Rattus norvegicus: one gene and its partner. The protein of the gene in region 2 interacts with the protein of the main gene of each other region in a pairwise test. Links are inferred from orthologs where the notes say so. Each region holds a gene or a part of one and is shown on either strand. Other genes may lie near its edges.

What was found.
Region 1: the proteins of Dapp1 (region 2) and Fxn interact in binary tests that used the Homo sapiens proteins (3 or more experiments, as listed by UniProt). The link is inferred for Rattus norvegicus from reciprocal best matches to the Homo sapiens genes DAPP1 and FXN.

What each region holds. Positions count from the first base shown.
Region 1 is NC_086019.1:231,321,069-231,325,576, forward strand, and holds the start of Fxn (frataxin, mitochondrial), read right to left. Parts: upstream 2,922-4,508; 5' UTR 2,897-2,921; coding exon 2,738-2,896; intron 732-2,737; coding exon 634-731; intron 1-633.
Region 2 is NC_086020.1:229,128,078-229,131,893, forward strand, and holds part of Dapp1 (dual adapter for phosphotyrosine and 3-phosphotyrosine and 3-phosphoinositide), read right to left. Parts: intron 1,841-3,816; coding exon 1,707-1,840; intron 1-1,706. UniProt on the Homo sapiens protein: May act as a B-cell-associated adapter that regulates B-cell antigen receptor (BCR)-signaling downstream of PI3K.

The DNA of each region.
Region 1 (4,508 bases), on a different chromosome or scaffold from region 2:
TAGAGTACTGAATGTCACGCAGACATCTTGGACTTCAAAGAGGATACAGCACCCCTGTGTGCCTTTGGTTGGTATCTCTGGGGCTGGGGACAACCCTGCATGTGGAAGAGGGCTCTACAGACAATCAAGTAGTAAAGGTGTAAACGGAGGCAAGGCTGACCCTACAGGGACTCCATTGCCCTTTCCTGAAGACACTTGCTAGCTTTCGTTGCCAGCTTCCTTATGCAACTGAGCTTGGCCCACGGGAACCAGAGTGAGGGGCCAGTGCCAGTGTTAGCCCTTCAAAGCTTCCAACTCTTCCTACCAGATGGAACCTGGGCGGGCTGCTCTAACTTGGACGACAAACCTTGGGCAGCCTGGAGAGAAGCTGCGTTTTTTTATAGCTATATGGTCTTCTTCAACTAGGATTCTGGAGGGAATAACAAAACTCTGGGGGAAAGAACTTAAACAATAGGAATGACCTCAAGGAAGCCTGGGATATTCACACAGTAACACCATTCATCTAAAGTAACATGGCGGATGCTTAGCAATGGGAAAGGTGTCACTCAAGGTTGTTCCCAGGGAGAAATAGTTTCCATATGAGGCGAGAGGAAGAAGAAGACACGCCTGAGGTGGAAGGTGTTTTCATCTCACCTTGGGTTGCCCAACGTCCCCGAGTTCCTCAAATGCACCACGCAGACACTCTGCTTTTTGATGTTCAGAATCTGACCGAGGTAGTGGAGGTTCAAATGCTAAAAGACAAAGTTAAAAACACTAGTTAAGGGGCTGGAGAGATGGCTCAGCGGTTAAGAGCACTGACTGCTCTTCCAGAGGTCCTGAGTTCAATTCCCAGCAACCACACGGTGGCTCACAACTATCTGTAGTGGGATCTGATGCCCTCTTCTGGTGTGTCTGAGGAGAGCAACAGTGTACACTCATTAAAAAAAAAGTAAATAAATAAATCTTTAAAAAACAAAACAAAAAGCTCACTAATTACCACATCTTAGTCTACTCTGATCCAGCGATACATGGTTCATAGATCGGCCCTCCTGTATTCGAGAGTAACCAGTTACAGCATCTGAGGTACAGTTCCAAGGGGCTGATCCCCAGCTCTACCCCTCATGCTTTGTTATGGGTTCTCCCTGTCTTTCTGCTAAGCTTGTGCCATCTAATAGGATGGTCATGAGACATAGCCTCTGAATTTATTAAGATAAGGCCAAATTTAGTCCTTGGTTGTGGTGGTTTGAATAGGAATGGCCCCTTCAGGTATCTGCAGGCTTGCTCATCAGGGAGTGAGACTATTAGGAGGTGTGTCCTTATTGGAGTAGGTGGGGCCTTGCTGGAGGAAGTATGTCACCGGGGGCGGGCTTTGACGTCTCAGATGCTCAAGCCAGACCCAGCGTCTCACTCTCAGCTCCTGCTCCAGCACCATGTCTGCCTGTGTGCTACCACACTTCCTGCCACAATGATGATGGATTAAACTTCTGAACTGTAAGCCAGTCCCAGTGAAATGTTTGATCATGGTGCCTATTCACAGCAATAGGACACTGGCTGAGACAGCTGCGGCGGCTGTATCTCAAGTGGCCATGATTAGGTAGCACCAGACAGAACATTTCCCCGGGGTGGTGCTGTTGCAAGCTGTTCAGGAGATTTGGTGGTTCGCCAGAGACAAGGACACCTTGAAGTAGCCCAGAATTTAACTAAAAGAAAAAAAAATGGCAAAGAGGTAGAATTCTGTTGAAGTCCAGAAAAAAGCTGTCTGGCTGCTGGATGGAGCCCGTCAGCAGGGTGTGACCTGTTGATTTCTCTTAGTCTTTAACTGCCAGGCGCTGGGCAACGGCATGTGTGTTGATGAGATTGAGTGGAGAGGCAGGGGAAAGTGGTGTAGCCTTAGCTGAGATGACAGGTGCTCTCCCCTTCCTGGAATGCTCCCCCCAGGCCCCTTCTTTAGCATCTATCACAACCCTCTCTGGGAAGCCTTCATTCACCCCACTGCTACTCGTTGGGCTATCTTTTTAAGCCATGGAGTAACAGATTCTGTTCTTTGCCTCTTATAGGAACCGAGACTTATCTGAAGTGCTAAGGCCTTGGCGACTACAGTTTAACTCTCCCTACAGTTTAACTCTCCCGCCAAAATCGCAAAGTGGGTGTTACCCTTTAATCACCCATGAACAGAGAACCAAGCCCTGCCTCCAGAGAGCTAGGGTCTCCGAAGGTCACAAGGGCTCTCTAGGGCCGCGCAGTCTGAATGTGAAACTGCGGTCCCCTCCTTTTCCAAAAGCTGGAGTCTTGGGCCCTACTGCTACATCGGTGATCCCAGCACTAGTGAAGAGGCAGGAGGATCACAAGATTGAAACCACTTTGGGGTACGTGGCTAATCCTGGGCTAGCCAGGGATACAGGGTGAGACAAACAACAAAAAGCCGTGCTCTGAGAAACTCCACAACCCCATTGCCCCGAAAAAGGCAACTGGTTCGCGGAAGCCCAGGTTCCTTCCATGCTTCTGCCTGCCACCTGCGGTGTGCATACAGTAATAAACACACCCTGCTGTACTCGCTGCACATCCTGTGTTAATTACAGAAATTGTTTTTTCTCATCTTCACCGCCAAGGATCTAACCCCGCGCAAACACCGCGCGTGCTCTGCCCTGCGCGCGCGCGTCCACGCAGTGCGGCCCGGCGCGTGCGCGCTGCGCGTCCCCGGCATAGGGGCGGACGCGGCCTGCGCTCCGGTATGCAGCCCAGCGGCGCGCATACTCACAGAGTGGCGGATGGCGTCGGCGTTGGCTGTGACATGTAGGCCTCGGCGGCCGCAGGTTCCAATCCGTTCCCTCCCGCGTGGGTTCCGGACCCAGGCGGAGGCCCGGGAGGCCGTCCGGGGCAGCAAGCCCGCGGCTGCGCGGCGTCCGAACGTCCACATGCTACTCCCACTCAGCGGCCGCTCCGCCCCGCGCGGGGACGTGGTGGCGACACCTGGTGGCTATGCCCTGCGAGCGCCGCGGCTGGGCTCCTGAGCGCAGGTCCAGCACTGCTGCACTGTGGATACATTTAACCAGAACCCAGAGCCTGCTCTGTGCCAGACTCGGGACGCGTCCTTGGGCAGCACGAGTGTGTAAGCACTGACCTCCGCGAGTTTATTCACTGACAACAATTTTACAGAATGACAGTAGATGATTCTGAGGATACGCGGATGATCAAAATAGCCTTGCTTTAAAAAACCTAACAGCTACAACTGCCGCGTCCCTTAGGAAATGGAAATAACAGGCAGAATGGATCAGAACAGAGGAGGAGCTTCCGTAGCCCCAGGATCAGCCGAAGAGTTATTGGTTGCTATTGGCTACAGGATGAGGGAGGGTCAGTTTTCTTCAGGGGTGTGGTCTCTGATACTCTGTCCTTTTGCTCCAATGGATGGTCCTACACTGGAGCATATACCGTTAGCGCTAAGTGGATTCAGGGTTTAAAAAAAAAGTTGCCGGGGCTGGAGAGATGGCTCAGCGGTTAAGAGGACTGACTGCTCTCCCAGAGGTCCTGAGTTCAATTCCCAGCAACCACGTGGTGGCTCACAACCATCTGTAATGGGATCTGATGCCCTCTTCTGGTGTGTCTGAAGACAGCTACAGTGTACTCATATAAATAAATCTTAAAAAAAAAAGTTGCCGAGCGGTGGTGGTGTCTGCCTTTAATCCCGGCACTCGGGAGGCAGAGGCAGGTATACGGAGTTCCAGGGCAGCCTGGGCTACATAGTGAGTTCCAGAACAGCCGGAGCTACATAGTGAGACTTTGTTTTTAAACAGTATATGAAATTGGGAGAAGGGGTGGGGTGGTTCTGTAGTTGGAAGTGACAGGTGAGTTTGATCAGAAAACAATTGTATACATGTACGGGGTTCTGAAACAACAGTAGTAATAAAGAGGTGCCTGGCTGAGGTGCCCGGCTGTCTCCTGGATGAGTAATCAGAACTAGTGACTGGGTCTCCTCATAGCTTTTTTCAGCAGCCCCAACAGGTTCCTCACACTACTGGCAGCTCTCCTGGCTTTTGTGTCAGTTTGAAGAGTCTGCGCATTATTTGGGGTTGCCATTATGACGCTGTGGAGAACTCTTTGAGCTTCAAGAGTGAAGAAAGTGTCCGAGAAATCTTTCACCTCTAGGGTTTCAAAAAGGGTTGAATGATGGGAACTGTATAGGCGTTAAGAACATCCTCCATGTACCATCTGACTTAGGATACTCCTGTTTCTGATTTCCCAAAAAAGCACAAAGGAAAGGGCGGTTTGTAGTGACTGCTAATGTAATCTCTCTCTCTCTCTCTCTCTCTCTCTCTCTCTCTCTCTCTCTCTCCTGTCCCTCCTACTCCCTTCCTCCTCCCCCTCCCTCTCGGAACTGTAGCTAATTTTCAGATGTGGAATTGGAGGCCCGGACATTTAAGTAACACACCCCTGATTGAAGAGGAGCTAGAACCCAGGCCTCCTGATTTCTGACCCAAGGGCTCTTACACCCTTAGAAAAGGAGTTTTTCTTAGTTTCAATATTGCAGTTCT
Region 2 (3,816 bases):
CTAGCACAGTGTGCGCTTCAGGGTGGAGAGACTGTCCATCAGAGGTCCATGTGCTAAGGGGTTTGACCCCCCTGCTTGGTCTTATAAGAAGGTAGGACCATGTGAAAAGGTTAGGACATTGATCTAACCTTTGGTTAGACCAATCGGTGTGACCTTGAAGGGGACATCAAAATGGGACTAGGTCCCCACCCCACCTCCATCTTCCTTGCTTCCTGGTCATGAGCTGAGTGGATCTCACTGCTGTGTACTCCCATCAATGATGACAAGGGGTAAAGGGTCATGGCCTAAAACCCGGGTGCCGTCAGACAAAATAAACTTCCCCCCTGTGTGGTCATTTAGCTCAAGTATCAACAGAGGTTAGACCAGTGGGACGCTGGCCAACAAACTGTGGGGTTTGATATATATATGTTATTATTATTATTATTAATCTTCCACTTTGACTAACTTCTGAAATGAGACATTTTGAATGCATACCAAGCTACAGGCCTAAAACTTGGTAATAAACTAATATGACAGTTAGGGGCTATGATTGCTCATAAAAATGTTTTCCATTTTCAATATGAGCACTTGGTTGCTGTGGGCATTTCTGGTGAAGTTTATTTTTGAAAGTGCTCCAGATTAAGTTCTCTGGGTCTCAGCTGCACACACACACACACACACACACACACACACACACACACACACACACACACTCACACACACGTTTCTTTTTTTTTTTTATTGGATATTTTTTTTTTTATTTTTTTTTATTAACTTGAGTATTTCTTATATACATTTCAAGTGTTATTCCCTTTCCCGGTTTCCGGGCAAAATCCCCCTCCCCCCTCCCCTTCCTTATGGGTGTTCCCCTCCCAACCCTCCCCCCATTGCCGCCCTCCCCCCATAGTCTAGTTCACTGGGGGTTCAGTCTTAGCAGGACCCAGGGCTTCCCCTTGCACTGGTGCTCTTACTAGGATATTCATTGCTACCTATGGGGTCAGAGTCCAGGGTCAGTCCATATATAGTCTTTAGGTAGTGGCTTAGTCCCTGGAAGCTCTGGTTGCTTGACATTGTTGTACTTTTGGGGTCTCGAGCCCCTTCAAGCTCTTCCAGTTCTTTCTCTGATTCCTTCAACGGGGGACCTATTCTCAGCTCAGTGGTTTGCTGCTGGCATTCGCCTCTGTATTTGCTCACACACACGTTTCTAAACCTATCACTTTCATGCCACAAGCAGTTTCCTGCCAGTTTCCATGTCTGAAATGATGAAGAATTACTTCGTGTTTTCTTTTCTTTGCTCTATGTATTATAAAATAGAATATTCTAAAGAAATTGTTTTTCTGTATCATTTATTTGTTTATGTATTTATGCATTTATTTATGTATTCATGTATGTATTTATTTATATAAGGGCTCACTGTATTTACCTGACTGTCCATGGAACTATGTGGATCAGACTGACCTCAAACACATAAAGCTCCGCCTGCCTGGATGAGCTTTTAATGCCCCATATCCCATAATTCAGCACTTGTGAGGCTGAGTTAAGAGGATCACAAATTCCCAGTGAGCTTGTGGCTATAGCAAGGACTTCATCTTTGATGTATTCCTCCCCTGTCTCTCGCTACGCAATGTTCTTAGCCCCATCAGAAGTCACCAGATTCCAAGCAAATTCTCATGCAGAACTATGAATCAGTAAACCATCTTAATAAACCAGGTATTAAGACAGCTTACCTGTCTCGCTTCCAATCAAAGGTTGATTTGCAAAATGCTTGACGAAATCCTTTAGAGATGAATATTCATTAAAGCCAAACTTAAAGGAGTACCCAGTGTATTCAACATGAAAGTGTTTGACGGAGTCTTTGGCTCTGAAAGAAAAAAATAGCATTTAATGTTATTTAACGAACGGCAATTCTTTTTGAAGGTGAATTTAGCAATGGGTCGGCATCACCACAAACAAGTCTTTGAGAATGCTGAACGCAGGGCCACCAACTGCTGAGCATCTTAAAGGCTGTCGAAGCAGCCTTCCTCTAGCAGGGGATTCTCACAGCTCTTCACTCTACTAGGAGACACCTGACAGTGCCCCTGCCTTCCCTTCCACTGGCTGCAAAGGTTCTTGAATAATAACCTCCATAAAGGTCATGAATTCAGGGACAGGGGTGACAGACAGGACCCATGTGCCCTTGTCTAGGAGTCAGTCAGAAGCCTGTTTCTGTCAATGAGTAACATGACCCTAGTCTTCTCCCTTGCCTGTGTGATTATCTAGTGAACAGTGTCACGTTTCTCAGGCTGTCATTTTCCACTTCATTTTTGAGATGAAAAGTACTTCATAAAATCTCCCCTGCTCACTTCACTTGTTCATTTCTCTTCTCCCTGGTCTCACCTCCCACTATATGGCCAATACCCCAACCTCTGGATGTATCAGAGTCAACTGTTGGTTGCTGGGTCTCACGCCCAGACAGTGATTCAACATGTGGAAGGCAGGCAGGCCCTCAAGAGGAAGGTTCTATCAGGTTCTCAGTGGATGTCGCTGATCTGGGGCTCCAGCCTCAGGACCCTGTCCATTGGGACCTGCTGTTCTTCTAGGAGTTTCCCTGCGTTTTGTTCCTTACCTCCAATTGTCTCTTCCCATTGGCCTCTGCTGCTAAACAACCTTGAGTCTTCCTGAAAATCCTACCTCATGATAATTCTGCCTTATGTTGAGAGCCTTTTTTACTCCTTGATCAAAAACTCACCTTCTTTTATGCTATTACTACACTTTGCTTAGTAGCAGGATTTGGGTCTTGGTGGCCCTATGAGGCTATATTTCTTGCCAACAACATCGGCAAATTAAGAGAGCTGGTACAAAATGCATGGTTTCAAAGATCTGTTATTAAGGGGATGGACAAATAAATGAATAAAAATAATCCTAACTCTGAACAGGCCTATGGGTCCTGCCACTTCTGCTGGCAACCTGCCCCTCCCCACCAAGTGTTATCAGGTATCTGTAATAAAAACCAGTGACTTATAATTTTTTCATGTAGATGAAATACATGTAATCTATTCATAAATAGCTTCTGATCAGATGAGTCACATGCAGATAAAACATTAGTTACCATCTGTGATCTAATAATTGTACCTGCTTATTTGAGATACTTGAAAGAACCAAGCAAGGGAGCATCCTGACACACAGTACATATACTTGTGTTCTCATATGTGCAGGTACATGCATGTATAAGCACATGTGCACATGTATGCACATGTTTGTGGAAGCTAGGGGGTAAACCCAGATATCATTTCCCAAGAATCTTTGACATGGATTTTTTTAGGCAAGGACTCTCACTGAACGTGGGGTTCATCAGTTCAGCAAAGCTGTGTGGCCAGTGAGCCCCAGGGGTACCTCTGTGTCCTCCTCTCTAGTGTCAGGATTAGAAGCGCATACCAACATTTCTGGTTTTCTACATGGGTGCTAGGAGTTCACCTTGGTTACTTTTTCCTTTCATAGACTTCACTATTACTGACTGAGTTATTTCCCTAGTCCCTAGCCCTGTTGTTTAGAAAAATTTAAAAATAAAACTTATCAGGGTAACTCCAAATATTGATAGATATCCTTTTTCCTCCCTTTGGCTGCCTAATTGGTTCCCTACTCTCTACCTATCTCTCCTTTTCCTTCTCAAATAGGCGTGTAGACACACTGCCAGAGAACGGAAGGTATGCCAGACAGAACGAGTAGATGCCCCGACCCCAACTCCGTGTACATCCCTGCTCCAATTATCCAGGCAAGGACTAGTCAAGACGGAGTCCTGAAAAGATTTAGTGTACTGTTAAGTCTCCAAATTGGTTCATATTCAAAACAGGAAGAGTC